Regions from separate parts of the Mus musculus genome. Here regions 1, 2, 3, 4, 5 and 6 are each reported to be linked to region 7. The links are microRNA targets in miRTarBase. Many come from high-throughput screens and were not tested one by one. Region 7 holds a microRNA gene; each other region holds the end of a gene's coding sequence.

What was found. The annotated mature microRNA mmu-miR-743a-3p reads GAAAGACACCAAGCUGAGUAGA and lies in region 7 at 2,344-2,365, opposite strand. An mRNA with a match to its seed (bases 2 to 7 or 8) in the 3' UTR can be bound and repressed. Matches are read on the target gene's strand: a 7mer-m8 pairs with bases 2 to 8, a 7mer-A1 pairs with bases 2 to 7 and ends in A, and an 8mer does both.
Region 1: the mRNA of Top2a is a reported target of mmu-miR-743a-3p. Seed matches in the 3' UTR shown: 8mer at 3,095-3,102 and 7mer-m8 at 2,860-2,866.
Region 2: the mRNA of Anapc11 is a reported target of mmu-miR-743a-3p. Seed matches in the 3' UTR shown: 8mer at 3,108-3,115.
Region 3: the mRNA of Slc5a3 is a reported target of mmu-miR-743a-3p. Seed matches in the 3' UTR shown: 7mer-m8 at 1,643-1,649.
Region 4: miRTarBase lists Dglucy as a target of mmu-miR-743a-3p. Seed matches in the 3' UTR shown: 8mer at 1,577-1,584.
Region 5: the mRNA of Cetn3 is a reported target of mmu-miR-743a-3p. Seed matches in the 3' UTR shown: 8mer at 2,847-2,854.
Region 6: miRTarBase lists Lrig1 as a target of mmu-miR-743a-3p. Seed matches in the 3' UTR shown: 8mer at 1,545-1,552.

Annotation. Positions count from the first base shown.
Region 1 is chr11:98,990,165-98,994,231 of GRCm38, forward strand. Top2a (topoisomerase (DNA) II alpha) reads right to left here. Exons shown (of 36, transcript NM_011623.2): 34 at 4,043-4,067; 35 at 3,600-3,771; 36 at 2,783-3,249. The coding sequence ends at 3,640. Among named protein-coding and RNA genes, the nearest start is that of Gjd3, 9.2 kb to the left of the region's middle.
Region 2 is chr11:120,604,627-120,608,693 of GRCm38, forward strand. It overlaps Anapc11 (anaphase promoting complex subunit 11), which reads left to right. Exons shown (of 3, transcript NM_001038230.2): 3 at 655-3,572. The coding sequence ends at 800. It overlaps Npb (neuropeptide B), which reads left to right and starts at 3,851. Exons shown (of 2, transcript NM_153288.3): 1 at 3,851-4,067. The coding sequence starts at 3,883.
Region 3 is chr16:92,078,630-92,082,696 of GRCm38, forward strand. It overlaps Slc5a3 (solute carrier family 5 (inositol transporters), member 3), which reads left to right. Exons shown (of 2, transcript NM_017391.3): 2 at 1-4,067. The coding sequence ends at 584. All of the region lies in intron 1 of Mrps6 (mitochondrial ribosomal protein S6), which reads left to right. Among named protein-coding and RNA genes, the nearest start is that of Mrps6, 22 kb to the left of the region's middle.
Region 4 is chr12:100,870,669-100,874,733 of GRCm38, forward strand. Dglucy (D-glutamate cyclase) reads left to right here. Exons shown (of 13, transcript NM_145448.5): 13 at 636-1,942. The coding sequence ends at 785. Among named protein-coding and RNA genes, the nearest start is that of Gm36572, 21 kb to the right of the region's middle.
Region 5 is chr13:81,795,904-81,799,961 of GRCm38, reverse strand. It overlaps Cetn3 (centrin 3), which reads right to left. Exons shown (of 5, transcript NM_007684.4): 5 at 2,807-3,308. The coding sequence ends at 3,265. Among named protein-coding and RNA genes, the nearest start is that of Cetn3, 15 kb to the right of the region's middle.
Region 6 is chr6:94,602,039-94,606,105 of GRCm38, reverse strand. It overlaps Lrig1 (leucine-rich repeats and immunoglobulin-like domains 1), which reads left to right. Exons shown (of 19, transcript NM_008377.2): 18 at 1-3; 19 at 103-1,577. The coding sequence ends at 347. It overlaps Slc25a26 (solute carrier family 25 (mitochondrial carrier, phosphate carrier), member 26), which reads right to left. Exons shown (of 10, transcript NM_026255.5): 10 at 1,451-2,554. The coding sequence ends at 2,437. Among named protein-coding and RNA genes, the nearest start is that of Mir7041, 2.3 kb to the left of the region's middle.
Region 7 is chrX:66,774,417-66,778,483 of GRCm38, forward strand. It overlaps Mir743 (microRNA 743), which reads right to left and starts at 2,402; the gene lies at 2,341-2,402. It overlaps Mir743b (microRNA 743b), which reads right to left and starts at 2,916; the gene lies at 2,840-2,916. It also overlaps the pseudogene Gm14681.

The sequences.
Region 1 (4,067 bases), not on the chromosome of region 7:
CTAATGCTTAGTTTTACAAATCATTATTGTGGGGTAGGGATACACGCCCCATGGCGAACGTGGAGGTCGGAGGACATTTCTGTGGAGTCAGTTCTTTCCTCCATCTCTCCAGCCCCCGAGACTTAAAGTCTTAACTGCTGAGCCACCTCTAGCTCTGTTGTTTATCTGTTTACTTTTGAGACAGGCTAGATTCAGCCTCTTGGTACTTCTTAAGAAGTGCTGGGGGGCTGTTGAGATGCTGGGGCTGGTGAAATGGCTCAGTGGTTAAGAGCACTGACTGCTCTTTCAGAGGTCATGAGTTCAAATCCCAGCAACCACATAGTGGCTCACAACCATCTGTACAGCTACAGTATACTCATATACATTAAATGAAATTTTAAAAAATCTTAAAAAAAAAAATTGGGAGTTGGTGAGATGGCTCAGAGGCTAAGAGCACTGACTGCTCTTCAGAAGGCCCTAAGTTCAAATCCCAGCAGCCACATGGTGGCTCACAACCACCTGTAATGAAATGAGATCTGATGCCCCTTCTGGTGCATCTGAAGACAGCTACAGTGTACTTATAATAATAAATAAATCTTTTTTTGTTGTTGTTGTTTGCTTTTTTGAGACAGGGTTTCTCTGTATAGCTCTGGCTGTCCTGGAACTCACTCTGTAGACCAGGCTGGCCTTGAACTCAGAAATCCGCCTGCCTCTGCCTCCCGAGTGCTGGGATCAAAGGCGTGCGCCACCATGCCTGGCAATAAATAAATAAATAAATAAATCTTTAAAAAAAAAGTGCTGGGACCACACACCACCACACCCAGCCCTTGTTTAACCAGAATGAATTGTGAGAAGGTTTAGATCTGGGTAGGTCTGAACAGCTCATTATCACTAGTTTTGTTTTGATGTGTATGTTCTATGTGTCTGTGTTTCCATGGGTACATACACCTGTGGAGAGGCCGGAAGTCAATGCTGGGTCGTTTTATCATTCTCCGGCCTGGCTTTTACTCTCTACTGCAGTAACTCTCTAACCTGGAGCCAGTGGCAGCTAGACTGGCTGGCCAGTGAGTCCCCTGGATAGCCAGGTCTCTCTCTCCCGACAGTGCTGAGGCCCCAGGGAGGGCTGGAATCCTAACTCAGCATGCACTCTGCCCACTGAGACATTTCCTCAGTCCCTTAATACAGGCTTTGAGTCTCTTCTCTCAATAACTGCTAACAAATTCTCTAAAAATTAGAGTCTAAATGTCTATAACTATCAAGTAGCTTTTCTTTTTAAAAATGTCCTTGAATGTTAGCAACATGAGGAAGAATGGTCAAGTTACTAACTTCTCGCATTCAGCAAGGTCTAACATGTCAAGAGGTACAGCAGTGCTGTGTGGTACTGATAGATTCATGTGCTGTTTTTAAGATTTTTTAAAAAGATTTATGTATGTGAGTACACTGTAGCTGTACAGATGGTTGTGAGCCTTCATGTGGTTGTTGGGAATTGAATTTTTAAGGACCTCTACTCGCTCTGGCCCAAAGATTTTTTTTTTTAAAGATTTATTATTTTTATTATATGTAAGTACACTGTAGCTATATCTTCAGACACTCCAGAAGAGGGAGTCATATCTCATTATGGATGGTTGTGAGCCACCATGTGGTAGCTGGGATTTGAACTCAGGACCTTCAGAAGAGCAGTCAGTGCCAATAACCTCTGAGTCTAGTGCTCTTAACCGCTGAGTCATCCTGCCAGCCCTGTTTTTAAGATTTTTTTATGTGTAGGTGTTTTGTCTGAATGTAAGTCTGTGACCCATGTGTACATTGCCTGAGGAGGCCAGGGGACAGATTCCCTGGAACTGGAGTTAGATGGTGGTGAGCCTTCACGTGGGTACAGGGAATTGAATCTGCTGCTTCTTAACCACTGAGCATAGCCTCAGCGCTTCCCCCAATAAGTAAAAAATTTATTTATCTACTTATGTGTGTGTTGGAGGGGAGGGAAAGAGGACATTAGCTTGTGTCATAGCCAAAGGACAGCTCGTGGGCATCAGCTCTGCCCTTTCACCACGAGGGTCCTGGAGATCCAACTCAGGGGTCAGGCTTTGCTGACAGCCATCTTTACCCAGGAAGCCACCTCAGCCCGCTTGAAACAGTTTCTAATCTTTGACATTTAACTATTTAGTCTTGGGTGGGTGGTAGCTTTGGTACACTACCTAGACTATACACCAGGCCCAGACTTGATCCCCAGCACAAAAAACAAAACTGTGTATTTGGACTGAATTTTGTGTAATATTAAGAAAGGAATTGGATTCACCATTTTATTTAGAGGGATCAAGCAGGCTGCTCCAATATAACTTTACTGAGTCCAACAAGTAGTTGTCTAAGCTATCAAAATGGAAGTAGACATCTTTTTAAAGATACATGCTTTTTTGTTTTTGTTTTTTGAGAAAGAGTCTCATGTATCCCAAGGTGGCCTTGCACATGACTTTAATTCCAACACTTGGGACCCAAAGGCTGGTGGGCCTCTGAGTTTTAGGCTAACCTGGTCGGTTTATAGTACTAGTTCCACAGGCCTCAGGCATGCTCAGAAAGCTCTCCACCAATGGAGCTACATCCCTAATCTGATACCTCCCCGAGGACATGGACACCTCAGCAGCCATATGTGAGATTGTAAGTAACACTGGACCCATCTAGGTCACAGTGCCTCTCTTTTGGATCCCTCAGCTGCCAAAGGCTGACCGTCTTAGCAGACAGACCATGGCTATAACAAGTCCTGACTACAGGAGATGATGTCAGATGGGTTAAAATAAGAGGAATGGATGGCTTGCATTGTTTAGAAGATTTATTAAAGTACAAAATAGTTGGAATTAGCGGAACAGACAGACATATTAAATATTTACAAAAGACATTGATAACAGCACTTAAATAAGAGACAACAGCACAGAAGGTCTTGGCAGTCACAAGTTGGAATTATGGAGATCTGCAATGGATCCCACTTCCTGGTTGATCCTGGAGATGTAACCGTGAGCAGTCCTGCCTCCTCCCAGGGATCTCGTGTTGGGAAGGCATCCCGAGTAGAGTCAGTACTCTACGTAACTGACCTAACTTTCCTCACCTTGCTGCTTGTGCTGAGTCATAAAGACACAGTCAAGGTGACTTTCTCCAGCCTCCGATGTTCAAAAGGTACGAGCAACTTCTCATGGCTTAAACAAAATGCATCACGTCAGAGGTTGAGCACTGTATCTGTACTAGAACTAACCAGTTCTATATGACCGAATTCTACCTATAAAACTGAAAACAAGGACCATGTTACTTCCTATTTTGTGGGAAGAGGAAAGGAGGCAGCAGAAGTGCTTTTGAAAACATTTTCACTGTAGTTTAATAGATGATAGATAAATACTATTGTGCTAAAGTGAGCATACAATTCTGTGAAATCCAAAAAAATTGAGGCAGATTTTAGAGACCAAAGTAAACACACATAAAACAGACAAATCAGAGAAGACAATTGCCCATGAGATGGTCACCTCGACAGCATGTTACAGAGAGCAAAGCTGAAGGCCACACGGGCTCTACTCACTTGGATAGTCTTAGTAAAAAAAAAAAAAAATCAAATTCAGAGGAGGAAGAACTTTAAAACTAACCTGGCTCCGTAAAACCATCCCTAAAACAATCTCTTCTGCCTCAGAAGAGGTCGTCATCGTCATCGGACTCCTCCAGGTACTTAATTGGCTTCCTCGCCCGGTCAGATTTGGCTCGAGGAGCTATCGTGTCTTCCAAGTCCACAGGGAAGTCCTGTTCCTCTCCCTTTGCTTTCTAAACAGAGAAGAGCCAAGTAACTTGCATATTGTTAATGCACTAGGGTAGTTCTATACCTCCAGAGTTCTCCCCACCTTCTTCTACTAAGTAGTAAGAAAAAGGTCCAAAGCAAGAGTCGCACAGACTGACAGATCAAACTTTACACATGGTGCAAAGGAATGATGAACTCAGGTTTAAATTTACTTCCTTAAAATTATGCAAACTAAGAGCACAGCCTAAGTGGATGCTTCAACATTCCAGAGCAGAGGAGTCAAACAGTGATAAATACCTTGCTCGTGGCACCTTTAGAAATT
Region 2 (4,067 bases), not on the chromosome of region 7:
CCGGCCCCCACTTGCTCCAGGTCCCACTTGCTCTGGCCCCCCCATGTTCACTCCGGCCCATAGGTTCTTTATTTTGTTTCTCATTATGGATGGTTGTGAGCCACCATGTGGTTGCTGGGATTTTAACTCAAGACTTCCGAAAGAGCAGTCAGTGCTCTTTGGAGTTGAGGTTTCAGATGAAGAAGGTAACAGGTGCTGATAAGTCCTCTATTAGTAACTGTCCCATAAACACCAGTGTCCCCAAGATCCATAGTGCAGTAGATCTCTGATGTCCAGGGAAGAGACTTTCCAGGTTTCAGGATGCCTGTAATGAAGACAAAGAGTTCTCCACTCAGGCTGTGAGTCGTTGGTATTACGGGTCAGTTTTTCACAGAAAGGTGTGAGAAAGGGACCAGAACCTAGTGGGCCAGGCCTCTCCCCTCTGAGGACACTTCACTTGCTATAGAGGGAGTCACTGCAGATCTGTAATGCCGTGGGCCATGTCTGGGGATGATTTGGGTCACAGCCCTACTTTTTGTCTCCTCTGAGAATGAGAGGCTCTCTGCCAGTGATTAGAGCTGTTGACTAATGTCCCAGAGGTGCCTGCCTGGCTTGTCACATGCTCTGTGTGTTTTATCTGGTTCTTTACCTAAGGCCAGTCTCTCCTTCTTGCAGGTAAGGTGCCTGGTGATGACTGCCCCCTCGTGTGGGGACAGTGCTCCCACTGCTTCCACATGCACTGCATCCTCAAGTGGCTGAATGCGCAGCAGGTGCAGCAGCACTGCCCCATGTGTCGCCAGGAGTGGAAGTTCAAAGAGTGAAGCCCGTGCCGTGCCACTTCCCTCTCCTGTGCTGTGCCAGGCTCAGCCCCTTCCCTCCCTCCCCTCCCCCAGATACAGCACCCCAAGTCCCCTCCACACAGCACAGTGGTGCCCAGAGATCTCGGTCTGTGCCGGGGACAAGGATGCTTTCTGTTTGGCTGGGACAAGGTTGAAAGGAGCTTTGCTGACTGTTTTGTTTTCCCATCACATTGACACTTTATTCAATAAGTAAAACTCATTACAGTTCCGAGCCGTGCTGGAGGCCTCTGCTTGCCTGGTTTCTTGACATACTGATGCTGCTAGCAGCATGTTTTGCTATGAAAACTCCAATAAACAGCTTGATGAAATAATGGCCAAAACCTTCATCGTAATCTGAGTCACAGCTCAGACAGGAGGAGGAGGAGAGATTCAGGCAGAGCCAAGCTGGGCAAAGACCTTAGGGTGTGTTTGTGTCAAGGAGACAGGCAGGGTGCACGTAGCCCATCAGCTGCCCTAGTCTACTGGGAGTCCCGAGATCTCGTCCCATCCCCAGCCCTAGCTGAGCAAAGCTGGCAGCTGCTCTTCCAGAGCTATTTGGTTGGAGGAAGAAATAGCTAAGCAGGCAGTGGTCATTCATGTCCAGATAATCTTCGGGGACAACTGCAGCAAGCTTTTCAGTCTCTTGTGTCTTCCTTGGATGAAGGCAGATATAGTGTAGGAGGATGTGGGTCCTCTGGTGTCTTAGGGAAGGAAGGCCATTTGGAAACTATTATTATTCCCTAGAGCTAGGGATTACCAGTTATCAGGAAAACAGTAGCCCAGCCCTGATGTGTTAAGCTCCTGGGTAGAAACCAATTTAGGCTGGCATCTAGGAGTTCTGGCCAACTTACCACCTTGTCCTCACTCTCTGACTCTTCCCAGTAACACCTCTGCACTCCCTGTGTGCTCCACAGCCGGGGAAGTAGACTACTAGGGGCTGGTTCCAAGCAATCTGGATCATCTACATGTTTGTTGGCTCTGAGACTTGTTGCCCACTGTGTGTGGTATCACTGAAGTCCTCCTATTTGAAGCAGACTTGTGCTTCTGGGAGACTAGAATTTCATACCACTTGGCTATCTCTAGCATGCTAATCCTGGAACTGGCACAGCTATCAGGAGTGAAGAGGGCCATTTCAGGGGTAAGGACCCCCAAGAGCTGCAGAGGGGAGCCAGGATTGGTGGATTTGGAAGTCCTTGAGCTGACAGGTATGGTGTACCCTGGCTTGTTCAGCTTGTGCCTTCCATCTCCAGTCTGCTCATTTTCTTGGAGGGTCCTCCATGCCTCTTCTAGGAACATTCTCTGGGACTTCATTCCGGGCCATCCTCTCTGAAACAACTTCCTGTGCAGTTGGCAGTGCTCCTGAGTGCTTCTGTTCCCGGGCTAACCTCAGAATCCTTCATGGCCTTCACTTACCACTGAGGTTCTTCCTGGTGTGTTGTCTCACGGTGTCAGCAGCCTTTCCTCAGGGTCAACTCCACCCATGTAGCATGTCCGCTCTCTAGAGATGAGAAAGCCATAACTAACCTTGGGCTGCTTGCAAATGGGACCCCTGGCTCCTCCCCTTCCTACTCCATTGTTCTTCCACCAGCTTTCTCCAGAAAAGTCAGGACAGCAATGTACCGAGCACTGCAGCTTGTGCTCAGCCTAAGCCCCTTTTCCATGTGGGAGCAGGAGGCCTTGGAGGAGGAAGCCTACACCACTGACCTCAGGAAGCTCTCTCTGCTCTAATCCACCTGTGCCTGCCCTGGGTGGCCAGACACAGTCCTATTCATGTTCTGGCTCCTGCACATACCACAAGTCTCTTACATGTTACCCTCCTGTGTCCAGTATTCGAGTCACTGTTTGCTAAGTACAGGTGGGGACGGTTCCTAGGCCATACCCACTGGTGTAGCGTGGGCAGGGCAGTTACTTGCCCCTAGGGTCCAGAGTTGCTTGCCCAGGCTTTTCTGAAGGTTGGAGCCTGAGCGCAACACTTCTCCTCAGAAAGGGCAAGCCCAGCATCAGAGTCTTCCACCGTGAGCACCACACCAAAACAACTCCAACCTTGTTGCATTGGCAAGATGAGTTATTTTCTCCAAGTTCGAGGCCAATATAGGTTATAGAGTGAGACCCTGTTGGTGAGCCTAGACAGGACCAAAGAATAAGCAAGGCCCCTGTGGTGGCTGATGTTATGTTAACTTGATGTGAACTAGAGTCCTCTGAGAGGCGTGATCCTCAGTTGGGAAAATGCCTCCGTAAGATCAGGCTGAGGGCAGGCCTGTAGGACATTTTCTTTCTTCCTCTTTATAATGTCTTTACATTTTATGTGTGTGGATGTTTTGCCTGCAAGCGTTTCTGTGCATACATGCATTCTCCCAGTGCCTATAGAGGCCAGAAGAAGGCATCTGACCCCTGGAACTAGAGTTCCAGACAGATGTGAACTGCCCTGTGAGCCACCTGCGCATGGTACTGGGAATCCAACCTGTGTCCTCTGGAACAGCAGTTAGTGCTTTTAACTGTTGAGCCATCTCTCCAGCTTGGAAAAATCAATTAGCGAATGATGAGGGAGGGCCCAGCAGATTTTGAGTGGTGCTATCCCTGGGCTGGTGATCCTGGTTCGGTAAAAAAGCAGGCTGAGGAAGCCCTGAGAGTAAGCAGCACCCCTCCATGGCCCCTGCATCAGCTTCCACCTCGGTCCCATTGGAGTTCCTGCCTTGGCTTTCTACAGCGGACTGTGACTCAGGATATGTAAACCAAATAAACCCTTTCCTCCCCAAGTCACTTTTGATCATGGTGTTTCATCACAGTAATAGTGCCCTAAGACAGTTCCACATTCCACCCTTGGAAGTTGATACATCTGGTCAGTAAAAGGACAGTTCCACTTGAGGGAGGAACGGGCCCTCTGCCCCATCTCGCAGGGTGTGAGATCCCACTGATTTACCACTTGCAGTCTGTGCGCCACTCCTTTCTGTCGCCCGCTCCTCCTCATCCCCCTCCCTGCCTCTGTCCCCCGCCCCCATTGTAAATATAAAGCCTGGTTCACAGACTTCAGTCGCTACATTCTGCCTGCCCCTGTCACAGCTCCATGGCCCGGTGTAGGACGCTGGTGGCCGCTGCCCTGGCGCTGCTCCTGCCGCCAGCCCTCGCGTGGTACAAGCCCGCGGCGGGACCCCACCACTACTCGGTGGGCCGCGCCTCGGGGCTACTGTCGAGTTTCCACAGGTTCCCGTCCACGCGACGCTCCGAGTCTCCAGCACTCCGGGTGGGAAC
Region 3 (4,067 bases), not on the chromosome of region 7:
TTACTGTGATTGTTAGTCTTCTCACACCACCTCCCACAAAGGATCAGATTCGTACCACTACCTTTTGGTCAAAGAAGACCCTGGTGACAAAGGAGAGCTGTTCTCAGAAAGACGAACCATACAAAATGCAAGAGAAGAGCATCCTGCAGTGCAGCGAGAATAGCGAAGTCATCAGCCATACTATTCCCAACGGGAAGTCTGAAGACAGCATTAAGGGACTGCAACCTGAAGACGTTAATCTGCTGGTGACATGCCGAGAAGAGGGCAACCCAGTGGCTTCCATGGGTCATTCAGAGGCAGAAACACCAGTAGATGCTTATTCCAATGGGCAAGCAGCTCTCATGGGTGAGAGAGAAAGAGAGAAGGAAACGGAAAATAGAAGCCGGTATTGGAAGTTCATAGACTGGTTTTGTGGCTTTAAGAGTAAAAGCCTTAGCAAGAGGAGCCTCAGAGACTTGATGGATGAGGAGGCTGTGTGTTTACAAATGTTAGAAGAGACTCCACAAGTTAAAGTGATCCTAAACATTGGACTTTTTGCTGTGTGTTCACTTGGAATTTTCATGTTTGTTTATTTCTCCTTATGAACTTAAGGATACGGTGAGACACTTAAGAGAAAATACTGGTCTTTGAAAACAAAAATGTAACTGTCGCACCTCCCAGGCATTGTTTACGCTGAAGGTTTTAGCCAAATTCTCCTTAGCAGAAAAATCATCTATTTGTAAGACTGTTTTCCCAGAGATGGGGAAAACGTAAATCTTCAACTTACATGAAACAGAGCAGAGTGAATTGTGCAAAAAATGTGGTTTGAGAGTTTTCTGTACCAAAGTAAGGAGAGACCAATTATTCTCATGTATCACTTAGGACAGAACATGTGCTAAGGTATCGTGAGTAAAGTGTCTTGTCTACATTGCCAAGGCTTGGTAGACCCTCTGCTGAAGGAAATTTGCTCATTTATAAAGGCTTTTGTCTCTAATCCCTGCTACAGTTAAAAAATGAATTTGTAGAGACTGTATGATTAGTTAGGTCCTGAAAGTCTAATGTGTTGTGTACTAATGACTTGAGGACAACTTTGTGTGTGTGGCTGGTCATTAGCACGAGTCTACGGATTCTGCTTGCCAAGAGAAAGGAAGAGCGTTTTCCTGCAGGTCCTTTTGTACTACAGCTTGTATGGAAATGTCAGCAGCCGTGGGGAGCAGACTTGGTTTCCATCTCTTCCCTCTCTTTTTTCCTACTTAAACTGAATCATACTCCACGGACTACCAAGTCTGTCTATAATTTTGCTTTTAATTAGGGGGGAAGTAAATACTGCTGATGATCCCCACATTTATTGATCAGATAAGAATATTTTAAAATATAGTTTGAGAATTATCAGCTACCAGGCAATGACTGATATTTAATGCTAAGTAGATGATGAATCATTTTTTTTTTTACCTGCTTTCTAGCTGCTTCTTTGTCATTTTACTAACATTCCTTATTTGCCAAATGCCTTCCCAAATGGGTCCTATTGTAAGATGTTCAGTATCGTGGAGGAGCGTCAACACTACTTGTGTGCCGGGGTTGGCACTTGCTTAGTTTGTGAAACGTTGTTAAGTTTTAGAGGAACAGTCTAATTCCATTCCTTATAAGTTCTCTTCCTTATTTCTGTCTTTTTTGAAGGCTTGCTGTGTATATACATCTATGCTGTTATAGTCAGTTAGCACATGAGTATGTTTCATTACGAAGTGGCTGTCAGTCATAGAACACTCGGCAGTCTTACTGTTGATGAGAGTAGATTTTCTGTAGGATGGCCAGCATGTTCCTCGGTTGCCACGAACAGGGACTTTAGGGTTTAGCAGTGTGCTTGTGGGGGATATCACACTTGTGGAGGACTCTTGATATTGACCTTAGCTTAGCTTGGTATCCAACTGCCACATTCATGGGCAGCAGATCTTTTTTTGTAGGCTGTTTCTCCTTATTGAAGATAGTGCAGGAGGAATTCGAGAAAAATCCTAGGGATGGTGTGTGTAGTCCTATGTCTTCATCACTGCCTCTTCTCCATTAGAGATGAAGAAAGCGAATTCTGTATCTACTTTCTTTAGGCCGATAACTTTTTAAATTGCATGACTTTTATTAAGCCTTGTACTTAAGGAGAATTACTACTTTTATAGATCATTTTATAGCTTTTCAATCAAACTCAGTCCTGATAACCAAAACAAAACAATACCTTTCCTTAGTTTTTTTTTTTTTTTTTTTTTTTTTTTTGTAATGCATCGACTTGTTTGCAGGCGATGGACGTCATGAGTCCAGTGCTGTTAGGGATCACAGATTGTCACACACAGTCTTCCTATCTTCTGGAGGGTTTCTGAGGGACTGAGTCTGGAAATTGAAAAAGTCATCTCTGTATGAATAGCATGCATTTCTGAAGAACTTAGAGTGCCTTGTACAATTTTTCTCTTAGTTTCTATTTTGAGATTTATAACCTGGAGCCAAGTAGATAGGGGCCATCCTTTTCTTGAGTGGAAAGTTGAGTTAGTTCTCCAAATGTGGACTCAGAGTTTGCCCATGTGTTTGGATGGATAGCTGTGCTTTGTGGCTGTCTTCTCTTAAACAATTCTTTTTGAGATAATCTTTCAGTCTTTGAGAAAGTTACAGAATATTGGGTTGTCCAAATTTGGATTAAGTTGTAGGAATTAACATTTCCTTTGAACACATTCCTATGCAAGTTAGCAGACATTGACACATTGGCCAAGTGGGCTTCCTCATCCTTGTATGTATAGCATAGTGAATAGGAGGTATTATGTGAATTTCTCCCTTTTATTTAGTGCTGAGTCCTAATAATTTGGAATGCTAGAGTCCTCTTACCCCCTTTTTGTTGACTTATAGTAAGATACATAATGTATACCGTAATGTGTCTATCTGTGTGTAAATAGCTGTAGGTCAAGTGTAGAGAGCTAATAAATAAGGAATAGCTTAGCATATGCATTAGATGTGTATTCTTACCACTGCGAACATCACTTTATTTAGTCTGAAGTTTCTAAAGCTTGTCTTCCTTACTGCTTTCCAGTAATAGATACTGTGCTTGAATACGTGTGTGATGGCAGCCTCATTTCAAGGACCAGCCTTTATAGGTCATTACAGTGGTTGTTCTTGGAATGATACCTGATTTTAGACTAGCAAAATGTTCATCCTTCACATGCATATGAGTCCTAAAAGATGGCATGGATCTGTAGACATTTACACATGTGTTTTTGTGTTTGTCCAAGCTAAGCTTTGGAATTGACCAAGATTACATTGACTAAAATAGTGATTAAAAGTAAACGTGAGGTAGGTGAGGCTGTTGGTCTACAGAGGTAGGTGAGAAGTAGTTATCCTCTGAGTGATAGCCAAGCTTCTAGATGATTGTCTTCCCAGGCAGTTCTTGCTTGGATCCAGAAAGGGCTTTTTAATTTAATTTAATTTTATTTTATTTTTAATTTTGCTTTGCGCCAGTGGCTGGGACAATGATTGATGGCTCTTCTGTGGGGTTTCTCTTTCTCTCAGAAGATTGTGTCCTGCCATCCTAAGAGTAAACAACTGGGCTGCTGTTGTTCTAGGAAGTGATTGCTTTTGTTTATAGAGAAGCATCAGGCAGTAGCAGCTGCCTTTGACTCAGATTGAGCGATCTCATCCCCAGGGCTTCCTTTCACCAGCTCGAAGGATCCACTCTTGCACAGAGAGGCTGACCTGGGTAGTCTATCCGTGACTCTTACGGGTGTCACCATAAGTGGTCAGAGATGCTTTGTGAAACTTCCCATTTAAGAACAGGTCAGTGGAGTTATGAGTTCTCTGAGTGAGGTTAAAAGCCTTCTTCAGGGTCGCTATGAATCCTTCAATTCCTACATCAGGAGTCTTTTTTATTCCGGGTGCATGGTCTTCTCATCTCCAAATACCATTTAGTGTAATCTACAGATGAGCCTTATTTTCCACCACATAAGTATGCTTTGTCATTACTCAGTAAAGAATTAGGTCTAATTTGGCTGATATACTAAGATGCCTTCCTCCCTCATGCCTCACTCCCTTGCACAGCTCCTTTTGGAGGTGTGAGTGGA
Region 4 (4,065 bases), not on the chromosome of region 7:
TAAGTACACTGTAGCTGTCTTCAGACACTCCAGAAGAGGGAGTCAGATCTTGTTACAGATGGTTGTGAGCCACCATGTGGTTGCTGGGATTTGAACTCCTGACCTTCAGAAGAGCAGTCGGGTGCTCTTACCCACTGAGCCATCTCTCCAGCCCGATTTTGATTTTCATAAGGAGCTTTCCAGTGAGTCCATGCCTTATCTCAAATTTTACTTGTTAAAAAGAGACACATTCCTGGGTGTGGTGCCATATGCCTTTAAGCCTAGCTCTTGAAAGGCAGAGGCAGGTGGATCTCTAAGAGTGTGAGGCCAGCCTGGTCTAAATATTAAGTTCCAGGACCACTAGGGCTACAGAGGCTCTGTTTTAAAAAGGAGGAGGGAGAAAGAAAGAAAGAAAGAAAGAAAGAGAGAGAGAGAGAGAGAGAGAGAGAGAGGAAGGAAGGAAGGAAGGAAAGAAGGAAGGAAGGAAGGAAGGAAGGAAGGAAGGAAGGGAAGGAAGGAAGAAAGAAAGAAAGAAAGAGACAGAGAGAAACAGAGATCTCTAGCTCAAAGCTTCTTTTCTACAGATATTTACGCATTCTGTCCTCCCTCTCCCCACATGTCGTCTGTCTCCTCCTCATCTCTGTATTTCCTCCCAGGAAGAAAAGATGTTGGGCATCCTGGTAGAGAACCAAGTCCGCAGTGGTGTCTCAGGCATCGTGGGCATGGAAGTGGATGGGCTGCCTTTCCATGACGTTCATGCTGAGATGATCCGGAAGCTGGTGGGTGCCACCACAGTGCACATGTGACCAGCTGTGCTGTTTGTGTGCACAGTCCCTGCCTGATGCCAGCCTTTGTCTAGGTAGGAAGGAGTTCCAGGGGCATTGCTCTACCTGCCCTTCATCCTGGCTTCTTCTGGCCACCCTATGCTCTGTTCTGGGAATCTTTCTGCCTCTCAGTTAAGAGAGAATTCTGGAACAGTTAATTGTAGAGCAGAGCCTAAGGGCAGTGGTGGTGTACACCTTTAATCCCAGCACTCAGGAGGCAAAGGCAGCTGGATTTTTGAGTTTAAGGCCAGCCTGGTCTACAGAGCGAGTTCTAGGGCAACCAAGGCATCACTGTGACCTGGGCTAATCGAGAAAGGGTAGAGAGCCCACACGTGGAGTGTTAGCTGAAACACTGGGGTTCATACTCACCACCACCAGCAAAACAGTTATATCTTTGAAATGCTTTTTTCCCCCATACAGTCATAATTTGCTGTTTGATGGGGTTCTTCCAGCCATGACATCCCACTGTCCCTCACCCCCATTCACCCCTGACATTTCTTACACACACTTTCCATCAGCTCACTCCTACACCTAGCCTGACTCTTTCCCCGTTTTGAGGGGGAAGGAAGCCATATTTACCAGTATTGCCCAAAGGTGAGTCAGACCTCTCCAGAGCTCAGGCAGATGAGCTCGCCCTGATCTTTCACATCCTCCAACCCTAAATTTCTCAACAAAACCAGAAACTGAGCCACTGACCAGGCCCCATTGCACATTTATTCCTGACATCATGGTGACATTTCATGTGGGATCTGAGCCTACTAAATGTTGTTTCATGTCTTTACACATGTGTGTCTGGTATGGTTCTTTAAGGGGCCTTCATTGTGAAAAAGGAACACATGGTATGGATTTTACACTCCAATAAAATATAAGTGTAAAGAGAAAATCTTTAGTATGAACCTCCAGTGTCTGCTATTTGCTATTCTGGCCAGGATTCACACCTGCAGGGTTCACACTTTCAGGGTCCATGCTTGTTCTGTGGAAGACACTAAAAATGGGGCCAGTCCTCCACCCAAGACCTCACAACTCAGCAAATACACCTTGGCTTGGAAGCCTCACGGCCCAGGTCTCTTTGAGTTATCATTTTTGTTCAGTACAAATTCCACACCAGGAACTCTGATAAAGAGGATATCCTGACAATTAAAAAAAAAAATAGATGACTACAATACTATTGACATCGTGGAAAAGCTGCCAACAATCTTATGATTCATGTTTCAAAGGAGATATTCATAGATTTGGCTTTTGGCATAGTAATAGCAGGATTCTACTTCAGCATTGAACAAGCTGAGGAGTAACAGTGTTACAAGTTATGCTTGCAGTGGGAAGAAATGTATGGGGAGATGGCTGAGCCATTTAAGAAAAAGGCTAAGACCCCGTTAAGTTCAGAGAAGGCAGGTTCTGAAGGCAGGTTCTCAGCTTACGCTGAGGCTAAGGTACAAAGGAGTAGAGGGGACCCCTTCCTGGGCATCCATCCCAGGGGCTGCTGGTGCTCTGCCTTCCAGGACCCGGTTTTAAAACTTTCCACTTCACATTGTGATTCCCACTCAAACCTTGTTCTAGCCTTGTCTGTTCTCAGGAGAAATGTCTGTGTTCATGTCTGTGGTGGCTACCACCTCCAGAAGTCAGTGACAAGAACAAGAGATGGCCTGCAGGGGAACTGTGGTTTACCCAGGGTGAGAGCTAGCTTGGTTCTAGCCATTGCTGGGCAAATGGAATCTGTGGGCTTTTCAGGATGCTGTGGAGAGAGATCCTAGGATATAGTACATATGACATACAGTCGGTACTCATAGGCAAGCTGGTGGCCTGGCTTACTGAGGTAGCATGCTCTGTACAAGGGTGCCAGCTCCTTATCCCTGGATGTCCTGGGCACAACTGACATTCTGTTGCTCAGCTAGGAAAGGTATCCCTCTGAGGTCACCTCTTGCTTCCCACTGTCTGCCACCCCCAAGTTGGCCCAGCCCATTGTATCTGCTACTTCCTGACCATTATACATGGCGTCTGCTGGCTTCTTCTTGAAGTTCATTGCTCTCTATGCAGGACGGAGAATGCTTGGCTTATTAGCAAATTGTATGTTCTCTACATTCATGATGTGATGTGCTTCCCGGAAGTATAGAAGCAGAGGAATGTGGTCCTTAGGGCAAGGTAGACGACATTATGTAGGTTCTGATCCAGGTGTCACATTTGTAGAAGCAGATTTTGTTGGGATTGGATGGCAGGTTAAGGGCTAAGTAGAGGTGATTTGAACTGTCAGTCAGATTGGCCAGATATTCACCAATTTCACCTTTCCTTGTCTTGTTACGCAGAAAAACTACATTTCCCAGCCTCTCTTGTAGCTGGGGCCCACGTGACCAGGGTCAGGTTAATAGAGTATGAGTAATGAGGCTATCAAACACTTCCACCCTGGGCCATAATTGCATGTGGCATTCTTTTTACACTTCTCCTACCTTTGTAGATGGACAGGGGGAATCCCATGATTATGGAACTGCTACTGGAAAATCCTGGGGTGTCACTTTATGATGGCCAGATGATGCCTGGGAAATTGGAGTTCCTTCTTAGGGTTCTTAGTCTTATTGATAAAGTAATTTAAGAATGGACTCAAATGGGAGCCTGAGGATGATAGGAGCTTAAAAGGAAACTCCATGGCAGGACATCTGTAAATCTCAGCAGGCGCCCAGAGGGGAAAATGGACAAGACAAGGGGAAAATGAGTAAGGACGAAGCCAAAAGTACCAGGAGAGAAGTGCTTAGGTTCTGGTCAGCATCTGCAAGAAAGAGAGAGGGAAAAAAAGGAGAACGGGAAAGTTGTCTCTTTCTGAGACAGGACACAGAAGGGTGGGCGGAGCCAGTTGAACCTCAGGGCTGCTCTTACAGACGGTGCTATGAGACAGGAATTATAGGAAGGATAAAGTATGGTATTTCAGTAAATGGATAATTTTGTGGTCATCTTTTTAGCAAGGGTTAAGATGGGCACATCTTCCTAGGAGAGGTCCCATCTTCCTGAACTTGGCAGCTGAATTAGCTCTTCAGGGACGAGAGAGTGGAGCGTCTCAACCATTCTTTACAGTAACAGAATTGATCCGCAGGAGGATTTTGAATTGCTGTCATCACTTTCCAAACTCTGTGTGTGTGTGTGTGTGTGTGTGTGTGTGTGTGTGTGTGTGTGTGTGTGTGCATGTTTAAGTGTGGGTACGGACGCGCAAGTATAGAGAGCAGAAATTGGCACTGAATGCCTCCCCTAATGGTTCTCTGCTTCCTTTTTTGAGCAA
Region 5 (4,058 bases), not on the chromosome of region 7:
TTTTCCCTTTTCTATAAGCAGAAATCCTTATACAAGTTAATTAACCATATATCAAAGCAAATAGGCAAAAGAAGGGCTGGAGATATCACATAGCAGCATTAAGGAGAGATGAGACCTCTGAAATCCTAGTTTGATTCTGGATCTGGAATCTGTAGGTCTCTATTGTCTAATTGTTAGTCTCAAGATTCCTTTACCTGACCTTAAATAACTACAGTTGTCTGTATTTATTCTTCTCATTCTTGTTGGCAATTTGTTTTTAATTTAGTAATATATTTGTGGCATCTTCCACTAATTTATTTTTGAAAAAAATGTATAAATTATAAAATGGAAAGTAAATTATAAAAAGTTTGCTTTTTTTTTATCTGAATTATTCTTTTAAAAGTGCAGACCCTATTAGACTGTAGAAAGCAAGAGGCACATGCCACTTGAAAAATAAACAAAGCCTCTGGCTCTTAATAACTACCCAAGTAGCTAGATATACAAATCATAAATTTCAAGTTTACTTCAACCAGCTGTTGATAGCATGTCTAGAGGTTCCTCAGACTGTACCTTCTCCAAACGAATGAACATTAAACTTACTAAAGATGAGTACTCAAAGAAATTAAACTTCTTACCTCAAGTGCACCAGGAACCTGAGACATCCAAGGTCAGATGCAAATCACTTGAGCCCACGGGCCAGTGATGACTTGGCAGTCCTTTTGCTGCCATCAGAGTCCCAGCAGGCTTAGTATTTCCCTAGGTCTTCCACCAGTTCCCACTGTATAGACCCTCATTGATAGCTGAGTGGGAGAGCGCCTGCCTCGTGTGCACCAGGGGCTGGGTCTGACCCTTAGTGTTAAAAGAAAATAATGATAATAATTCCCCTCTAGACAATACCCTAGCTATTCTGGTGTGTATTTAAAAGGTCCTGAGAGGCCCTAAAGATCACAGACTTTCCAAGGCCAAATAATTACAGAATTACAGGCAGTTAGGCCCATGGACCAATAATTTAAACTACAGAATAACTCTAATTGTAACAGCTTATATTTTCATGTTTTTGTAGCTCACATTTTTACATTTATTTTTTTTCCCCAAATGATATCTTTTAACTTTCTAGTTTAATTTTTTTCTTTTAATTTTTGGCACAGTGGTGAAGCCAATTAGATTTGAATTCTTAAAATACAAATCTTTCCTCTTTTCCCCAACTAGTTTTGAGGGAGTTACTTTGTTTTTATTGCCACTGTTGAAAATTATCCTACTATCCCTTGGGATTTAGATTCATAACAATTATCGCCCAGCAAGACAGCTAGAGAAGAAATCTCCCATAAATTATCGTCTGGGCCAGTTACTGAGATTTAATTGAACACATAATCTTCAAAGAAAATGAAAAAGGAAATATAGATCTTGCTTAAAATATGGTTGCATCTACCTGTTTGGCAGAGACTTTAAATGCATGAACTTTGAGAATAATCAAAATGCGCATTTTACAATAAAAGATTACTCCTCAGTAGGCCAACCCCAAACCTTTACCCTGCTGTTAAATCTGAGGTGCTTTCAATGGTAGAAAACATGATTTGGAAATATTTTTATCACTCAGCATTTAGTTGATGTACACTGAGTGGTTTTTATTCTAAAGAGCCATCTATCAGTAGGCTCTCACCGCTAGGTCACGGGAGTTCACGTTCTACAGTGCGCACGTTTCCTTGCAGTCAGGTTTGCATGGACCTTTCGGAAGACCCTGGGGATAGGCCGTCTATGGTAATGCCACACAGAGAAAATGGTCGCTTTTTTTAGAGAACACAGTGGTATGTTGGTCAAATGTTACAAGCATATTAAAATCAGAAATGTCGAACTCCAGGGATTCTATTAAGTATCCCTGATTTCTTTTATTATGGAATAAAGAAAGTCTATTCTAAAATATTGTTAATTAAGTATAAAATGAAGGTAACCTGCTGATCTTCAGTTCTATAAAAGGTCATATTCCTAAAAATCACTGCATACTGAGAAATGTTTGTGTATTCTCAGCATAAAATTTATAATTTCTAAAGTTCTAATAAAAAAGCAACTTAGATTTTTATATATAGTTACCTAATAACTAATTACACTTAATATTTTGAGTGTTCCTCATTGGGGCAACTCTCACAAATACATCAGATAAAACAAAGCCCTGACTTTACTTTTTGAAACTACTTTAACAGACTCAAAGTATTTCAACTACCTCTAATTGTATTGTTTGTCTTGCTTTTGCTTGCTTGTTTGTTTTTATAATTTAAAGAACAGTTCCTTAAATTAACACTCACTCTATAGCTCACTTTCCCTTAGGAGAGCTCCTATCATCAGAACTGAATACTGAAGATGTGATAGACTACCATTTCTGTGACCTATCTCCCATAATCTTTTTTTTGCCCTAAACTGCAGTTAGGCAGAATTGCCCACTAACACCTGGAGATTCTATCACCACTGTTTCTTGATACATCATGGATAAACCTAACCCTTAAGTGTTTTCTATGGCTTCCATTTTCTCTAGCGCATGAAAATCCAAAGTTTGAATCTTTCACTTTGCCAAGCAGTTAAATGATTACAACTGTATTCAAAAAGTATAATGAAGCAATGTTCACCCTCAATTTGCCATTACAAAACACAGATTTCGACAATACATTACACAGCAAAGATATACACGGCGATATGCAGAGTGCGTAGTCCCTCCAAACTGCAGGACTGTACGCTTAGGAAGGAACTAGACCTACACTGAACTGTCCTGCACTGAAATGCAAACTGTCAAGGTTGATGACCCTGAGTGATGAACAAATGTTCCAGACTATTGTCATTTGGTTTTTCTGATTTATTTTCAAATACAAGTGAAAGTGTAAAGACAAAAGATTTTTAAAAATCTTCTATTGTTAATAGATATCAGAAATCTGAAATAAAAAATTTACCAAACATTAACATACTAATAAAATAAGTATTTTATTAATGAATGTCAAAAAAAAAACATGTGCATGAAAATAAAAGCAATTAGCTAGTCCTAAATTTAGAAGACTCCAAATAACATACACCACATGATTTGATGTTTTAAAACTTTATATAAACATGTATTATAAATGTGAAGTCAACTACTACATTGATGACATAAACTTAACAATGCTGAAATATACATACAAAGGATGCTTGGTTTTGTTCCTTTCAGAAAAAGAACTACGTTTGTTTTGTTTCGTTTTCTTAAACTGGACTCCAGGCACACAAAGAGAAGATAGATGGTAAAAGTAACATTTTGGTGTTGATTCTTTATATGTCACCAGTCATAATAGCAATGAATTCCTCTTGATTTACTGTGGCAAGAAAGACAGGGTCATCGTCAGAGACCTTCTTAACCCAAGATATACAATCATCATTTTACAATGTATTAAACTTTATAATATAAAAAATATCTTACAAGTCAAAACATAACTTATTCAATGGAACTTCTAAAATAAAAGTATATACAAATGTGATCAGCATTATAAATAAATAAATATTCTATTATATTAAGTGGGGACAACAGATGATATGCATTACCATAAAGTCAGCCACAGACATAATATTTGTCACAGTTTAAAAAGTGACAGTTTTAATATAAGTAGTTAAGCACTCTTTATAACCAGTACTTTACTAATATATTTAGTAAGGCTTCCCTTCATCAGTTAAGTTTGACTATACCATGCATGTGAACTAACAAAATTCTAAAGAATAAAACGTTTTAAAACTAGAAAAAAAATAACAAATTGTTAATTTTGGAAGCTTATCTTTTAAAAAAAAAGCCAGTTACCTCATGTAAACCTCAAAAGCATGTAAACCTTCAATAGAAAAAGTAATTTAAGAAAATACAGATTATTATACAGCAACTATAAAATTTTAAAAACTAAAAATACAGGAAATAAATCATTCATGCTAACAACTTGACACTTTTACTAAAACTATATATAAACTTTAGTAAGGAACTTGAATGTATACGGAATGTTTAAGAAAACATAATAATAAACAGAACTATAATAAAGAGGAATGACTAATCCTAAATGTAACGTTTAAGAAGTACACACACA
Region 6 (4,067 bases), not on the chromosome of region 7:
ACGGTGTGTATTGTGTTAGAGGAACCTCGGTGGCTGCTGGGAGCCCTTTGGTTACGGTGCATAGGCTGAGCTGCCTCTTTTTTTTTTTTTTTTTTTAAACAGGAGATTCCTCTTGGACTTTAGCAAAGTTACATGAAGCAGACTGCATAGACCTAAAGCCTTCTCCTACGTTAGCTTCAGGCAGCCCAGAGCTCATGGAAGACGCCATATCTACTGAAGCCCAGCACTTGCTTGTTTCCAATGGCCACCTCCCCAAGGCCTGTGACTCCAGCCCTGAATCTGTGCCACTGAAAGGGCAGATCACTGGGAAACGGAGGGGACCACTGCTATTGGCACCGAGAAGCTAGGCTTCATCTACCTCAGCTCTTTTAAAGCAGTCGCTACAGGAAAGAGGTAGGAGAGGCCGTGGAAAGCTTGTGTCCAGACGTCACTCCGGACAGTCCGACTTCCGTGTGGAATGTCAGTCAGTCGGCTAGAGGAGTGGCATCTGGAGCTCAGAAACGTGAGAGACTATTTGTGTACAAAAGGCAGGAAAAAGTATTTGATACCACTGTACATAAGAGTTTTCAGAGATTTCATATATATTATATATCTTTTACAGAGACTATTTTAATCCTTAGCGCATGGGTCCCGCTTTTGGTGATATTTTCACATTAGGTTGCTGTCTAATTTTGGAGAGGGTCAGGAATCGTTCTGGTGCCTTAATGCACAGCTGGAATTCAGGTAAACACATCAGCTGTTGCTGGCGGTTGGAAAGGAGGGCATCTTGGCTGTGTGGCACTTAGTGGTCAGATTCGAGTGCACTGGCCAGACCTATGCAGGCGTGGTGTTGGCAGCCTCACTGTAGAGCAGGGTGCACGGGTCTGTAGTTGAGGACGAGATTGAGAGCTGTTAATCCACCAAATGCAATGGCTCAGAACAATTAAGCACTGCCTTTCGTCTTTCTTTGTAACTCACTTGGTAAAAGCAAATGTCTTGTCTCCTTCAGTGGTTCTTTGAAGCTTAGTGAGGCGGAGGCTGCCAGTGTTGGTACCTGTGGATTTTCCAATAGTGAGGGTTAGCTCTGCCTCCAGGGCCCGCTAAGTTCTGCTGAGCAGGCCTGTCCACGCTGTTCCTTACCGGTGAGACTGGGCTTGGACTGTACAAGACTTGAGTCCTAGACCTGGGTGTATTTGCACTTTGGGGCCCTGTTGCTAGCCATCTTGTGAGTGCCAATGTATAATGCAGTAAAGACTACATGGAAACACAAACTCAGTCCTTAAAACCCCAGGAGTTGAGGGGAAGTGTTGGCACAGTGATGGCCTGTGTCACCGTGTAGTGTCATAGGCCATCACTGTGCCAGAGCAAGCACGCTGAGAAGGCTAGTCTCCATAGTTGATGGTTAATGTTACTTCCACAAAATATGTGAATTTGCTGCTTCTGAGAGGCAATGTGAAAGAGGAAGTATTACTTTTTATGTACAGAGTTATTTATTTATAGAAATTTTGGTACAGTGTACATTGAAAACATGTAAAATATTGAAGTGTCTAACAAATGGCATAAAGTGTCTTTAATAAAGGTTCATTTATAAATACTAAGTGTGTGCGGCGGTCACTGCTCTTTTATTCTGCTATTAATGTTTCTCCAAAAGGAGAATACTTAGACGAAGCAGCATAGACTACACACTGTTGCCCCAGAAAGACAGTGGCACTGCATTCCTCAGATAGCTTTTTTTTTTCCACATGGAGTTGGTTAGTCAAGCCTTATGCTCCCCAAGTATGCTGACCCTCCCACCTCCTGCTGGCATATACCATGAGGACAAAGGAGCTGCTCCAGCTGGCCTCCAGGGACGGACAGTGGTGGGCATGGGCTTTGCTTCCCTCAACATGTTCCTAACTGAAGTCACTTGGGCCCACCCACTCACTGGCGCTGCAGCTGTCTGCTGTCTGTCACACACTCCAGGGACTTTGGGGCACTTTGCTGTAAAGTAATATAATCATGTGTTTTTATAGGAGAAATACAAGGTAATTAAAAACAGCATCCTCACCAGAAAGAATGCATGCTATGCACCTGTAGCTCATGCTTTTTAAACAAAGCTATAATCTTACACAATAGGCACCCGCCCAGGGGAGAAACAGCCACACGCACGGTTCTTGCCCCCTTCCTTTTCCCAGTCTGGTCATTCACTGCAGTTGTAGCCAGTTTGCTTTCCTGGTGACTCCAACAGACAGCAGAAAGCACAGGATGCTAATAAAAAGCATTCTGAAGGGCCTGGCCTTGGCCTTACCGGGAGTATTTATTGAGAGGACTGAGACGGTGGCCCCAGTTTCACCAAGAAAAGTTTCCTGGGGCAGCCTGTGCTTTGGCCTTCATTAAGCTGCTCTCTGCAGCCATCTTCAGGGAGCCACACTGGAGCCCCAGGCACAGGAAGGACTGCAAGGACATGTAGTGTCTGCTTCATGGGCTCTTCCTGCCCACCTCTAACAGCAAGCTTCGCGCCTGGTCATAGGCGCCCAGAAAGATGAAGCCGCCCATGCTGATTGCTGCCATCCTCGGGAGGACACCTGCGAATAACCTAGGGACAGGAAATGGTCATGTTCCTGACTGCCCGCAGTTCGCTCATTCCATCACATCCATTGTGAAATCCCACAGAAATTTACAGTGTCTTTCCTTCCTTTTAGAAGGCTACTAAGTAATATTCCCCAATATGCATGAGAAACTGGAGCTTAGCCTAGCACGGCCACACTAGCTGGGAACACTCACATTAACACAGTAACCACTCTCCCAGCAGTGTGCTCGAAGAAGGGAGTCAAGGATACATCTGAGGTGAGGCTGGTAAGGGTGTGTGGCCCTGGGACATCTGAGGGGCCTCTAGGTCTCAGTCAGGGAGACAAAGCAAATTCTGAAACAGTTCTGCTCTCCTACCCTGGGCTCGGTTATATTTGTCATTGGAGTCCCACAAATGCGATTCTACAAGAAGGGGATGATGAATCTTTGTGGACTCCCTTTTTCTTGTTCAATCGAAATAAGGACGCCAGAGTCACATGACTGTGGTAAAGGTGGAGCGCCTCACAGTGTCAGTTCGAGATTCTCAGGTGTCCCATCCCCAATCCAGTCAGAACACCACAGTGGTGTCAGGAAGCCATTCTCCAGAGGCCCAGGAAATTTCAAATATCCATCGTGACATTACTGAAGTAATCTACTAGTGACCTTACCTGGCCAGATGAGACAGCATTGTGAAAACAGAGTGGCGCACAGCTGGAGAGAACAAGACAGAAGCCCCAACCCTAAAAGGTTACCATCCCCATGGTCGCTGGGCTGATGAACACAGGGCAAGTCCTAGGCTGTAAATTACTGCTTTCTACAGAGGCAGTGGGAGTGAGAGAGTGACAGACAGAAAGCCTGATCTTATTTCTACTGAAACCCTGTTACCCAGAAAAGTGCTTCTATATGCAGAAAGACAAACTTAGAAGCCAGAACTTGGGCTGCCTCGGTGGGAAAAGGCACTTGCTGTCAAGACTGATGGATAACCCAAGTTCGATCCCTGGACAAGGAAAGAACCAGTTTGATGTCTATGTGTGCACACTCGTGGAGAGGCTTTGGGTATAGGGCAAGTGTTTTATTATAACAATGCTCATGCCTTTTAAAGATGTGGGAAAGCCTTTGTGCTAAGCTAAGTGGAAGCTAATGAAGAAAGCTGACAGGAATCTCTGCTGGATACACAGCCCATGCCCTACACAGCCAGTGGAAGAGATCCGCTGCCCCTCCCACCTCTAGCAGGCAGCACAGAAGAAAGCAAGGACTTTACATAGTGGGACCCCTCTTGCTAAGCTACTTAGGGAGCTAGAGAGAATAGCTTAGTGGGTAAAGCGAGCAAGACCTGAGTTCAAATGTCTAGAAACCTCGTGAGGCTGCGCGTGGCAGCTCTGCAGTAACCCCAGTGCTCCTGTAGTGACAGGAAGTCCCGGAGGCTCTTGGGTCAGCTAGCCTGGCCCAGGAAGTGGCAAACAAGGCACCTACCATATAGAAGGCAGGCCTGGAGACACTGAGCTGGGCTTGGAGGTCAGTCTCCCTCAGCTTTGCCACTA
Region 7 (4,067 bases):
ATTCAGAAAATTGGAACTACCTTGGAGTCCATAACAGATTAATGGATAATAAAACTTGTACATTTACACAATGGAATATTATTCACACGTAAATGAAGAACTTCATAGGTAAATGAATGGAACTAAAAATATGCTAATTGACTAACCTAGATCTCCAAAGCAAATGTGTTATGTTTTCTTTTATGTGTGGATGCTAGTTTGTTTTTATAGCTAGATAGCTAATGCTCAAAAGGACACCATGAAAACCCTCAAACTTAAGCTATTGCCAAGTCTTTTGGTTATTCTACACAAACTGAATATGGAGAAATCAAGCATTTGTCTCTGTACAGCATTCACCTCTACTAACTAGTATTGATAACTGAAGATAATCTATGCTGCAAGTTATCAAAGAAAAAAGATGATCATTAATCCAATTACAGACCATATGACCAATAACAAAGATATGCCTGCAAGGCATGCTGGTGAAAAAGTAGTACAAATGTTGTGGCAGAACATAACCTCTTTATAATAGGACTTAAGGCCCACTCCATGAGACAGAATTCACATCCAATTCTATACAATCAGTCAAAAACATGAGACTAGAAAGGCCGTGAGCCTAGAGAAAACCAGTTTTTCTGTAAAGGACCATAACAATAAAATGACTCCTAATGATATTCTATAGTATGTATAGATCAGTGTTTTCCTCAGATATCATCAAATATGCTTCTTTTTCTTGGAACAATGTGTAGAGAGTAAGGGGTATGAAATAATCATTCCTAAGTGGGAGGTCTTTATCAAACACCTTCCCTTGGGGATCAAGGAGTTGTGCTGAAGATGAAGCTGAAAGACAATGAGAGCCAGAGGTAATGGATAACATCAAGGAAACAAGACCTTCTATATACAACAGGACTGATGCACATATGAACTCATCCAGACTGTGACAGAATACACAGGACCTGAACAAGTTCAAACCAAACATGTTCCCATGAGTGAGCATGGAAAATGGATATGAATTCCCATCATTAACTAATAAATTATTTCCAATTGACAGCTACTTACAAAGAAAAATTGTTTTCTTCAATTTCATCTCACTGGGTATAGTAACCACATTTAATTGTAGGCTCTATGCCAAGAATTATACAGCCAACACAATATGAACTCAATTATATTTTGTAGGTATTCTCTGTCTCTCCTCTCTCTCTCTCTCTCTCTCTCTCTCTCTCTCTCTCTCTCTCTCTCTCTTTATGTGTATAATGTGTTTCTTGGGCATTTTAAATTATTCTTTATTCACTCATTTATCTTGCTGATTTTTCTAAAGGAAGATAAAGAAATCTGGTAGTGAAGGTGGGGAGGATCTCAGAGAAGATGGGGGATGTGAAATTGTGGTCAGGATATATCTTAAACATTTTCAGAAAAAAAGAAACAAAACAAATGTAGAAGTGCTGACTCTATCAACTCTATAACCTCTAATAATATTCATCACTTGTACAAGTTATGACATCAGGAAGGATGCCTGAACCCTGAACACACCTAGGGAATGCAAAACTCATTATACATCACCTTGCATATATAATTTGACATCTTCTTCCTGCATTCCAATAAGATGAATAACTCTGAGTACCAATAACTGATCATCACTCTCAGCTTAATACCCTTTCCTTCATTCTTGCCAGACCACGTGCCAAACTTAGGGCCTCAAGCATACAATCTAATTATTCTAAAGACTGTGCTTTAGGCTCTTAAAAGTATGTTTTTTAGCACATAAATAAATTGAATTTTCCTTCTGTATTTTATCGGACCTATGTGAATTTTTGAATAACAACAACAACAAAAAGCATGAAGGTGACAACAACACCATTAAAAACCCTGAAGGTGTCCTAGGGCCCAGAAAAGTCAAAGAACACCATAATCAGAAATGCTAGGATATTTGTACTTATACAAAAATCACTATGCTAAAAGTAATGAGACAGCTTGTTAGACTTATTCTACTCACACAGAAGAACTGGTTAACAGTTTAAGCAAATATGGCTCTGTATAGAATTTTAGCATGTAGGGCGGGCCTCAATCATGTCCTAATAGTATCCTATTTATCAATCTGCCTTAATGAGTATAAAACCTTAACATATATCATATTTATTCCTATCTTAGGGAATATTCCTTGTACATAACATACTATGTCCTACTATATGGTTGACTGCCAAACTTTGTGTTAATTCTCCAATCTATATGCGGCTATAAAGTTAACACTGGGAATCAAAATTGTACTTAGGTAACAGATTAGGACTGGTTACATTTTGTGTAACTACAGATAAAACACCCTGACCACATAATACCACCTGCAATGAAGAACACAATAAGCCCTACTCTACTCAGCTTGGTGTCTTTCATTCTTATAAACATGACAGGCACCAATCTGAATACAGCACTGCATACAAGAACTTTAATGAGAATGCTCTGCCCCAGATCCTTCATCTACATGTCACACAAATCATTCTGCCCCACTCAACATGAAAACTCACTTCTGTTTATATGTATATATTAGAAAACATTCCTACAGTAGGCTATGAGTTTCTAGTTCTTCACTGTATACTATGTCCTGGTCTCTATTTACAGTGTTGATTCTCAAATCTACATAGATAAAAGATGTATCATTTGTTGATTGTGGGTTTAGTTTCTTCTAAGTATTTTTTTCTTTAACCTACATGTTATAATTGTGTAAAAATTGAACATCTAAAATTATACTCTGGATAAATATGGATCCTGAGGGTTACATATGACTAATTACAATGAGGGATTCATGTCAAGTGTAACTGCACTGCACCACTCTGACCAATTAAGGCATAATAAATGAAGAATATCATGGGCCTTACTCTATTCAGCATGATGTCTTTCACAAATATTTCACATGATGGACACCAGTCTGAACACAGCACTGCACACAACATACTGCCCTCTCCCACTCCTATTTCAGTGTCCTGGACAAAAAGTTAAGTACTAGTTGCATGCTTTGCATCAGTATGACTGATGCTTCATCTTTTTTTCTCTACCATGTAGTAATAACCATCATATTTGAGGATCCTGTCTAAATTCACCTTGAGGATGTATGCTGTGAAGATAAATACAGTATATACTAGTTTTCATGAGCCTTCATCAATTCTTGTAGTCTAGTGTGATAGGTGAACACTAGATTTCTTTATTCACAGGTCCAGGAAATGACAAAATCCTTCACCTTTCATTTCTCCTTCTGAATGTTGTGATCCCAATTTTTTATCTCATTTTGCTGATATTAAATATCCATTAATAATAAACATATTACTTTTATAATTGCACTCTCTGACCATTTTGAGGCATGTGTACAACCTTAAGCACCTTTTAAGTCTAAAAAAGTGGGGCTTTAAATGAGAAATGATGAAAATGGTAGCAATCTCAAGGATGCCTTTGAAGACGAAGTATAAGGTCCAGGGTATACAAAGTAAGGAGCTTGTTGAACATTACTCACTCTGAGAGACCATGTGTACACGCACTTAAGTCTCACTGACATTAATGTGTATAGGGATTGACACTAAAAAGCTTTCAGGAGAAATAGTACTCAGCAGAGAAGAGCCCACCAACTGCTTTTCCATGGTCAGCACTGAAATAACATACATAAAACTTTCAAAATATGGACTAAGCAGGGCATGAATGAGAGAGAGAACAAAGGGGTTAGTTGATTAGAGTGGCTGAAGGGAAGAAACGAAAGGGGAGAATTATAAAATATTTTAATTTAAAAAGCACTTAAAAATTAAAATGAAACTAAACTTATTTTCCATAGTGCTATGTCCCTAATTTTAAATATTTTCACCTATGAGAAATAGGAATTAGATGAAAGGTTCCCCCTATATCTTCACCTAAACAATGTCCTGTGAAGGTAGCTACAATCGATCTTAGAATCAGAAAATACTCTTGCATGTGCATCTATGTTCTTACATTTACAATGACAGTACTTTATGAGTATCCTTATATTGAGAGAGATACCCCAAACTGTTTAAACTGTTTAAACCCTTTTCTTAAAGAGACTTCCTCCACTGCCAGAGATCTTGAATAGCCTC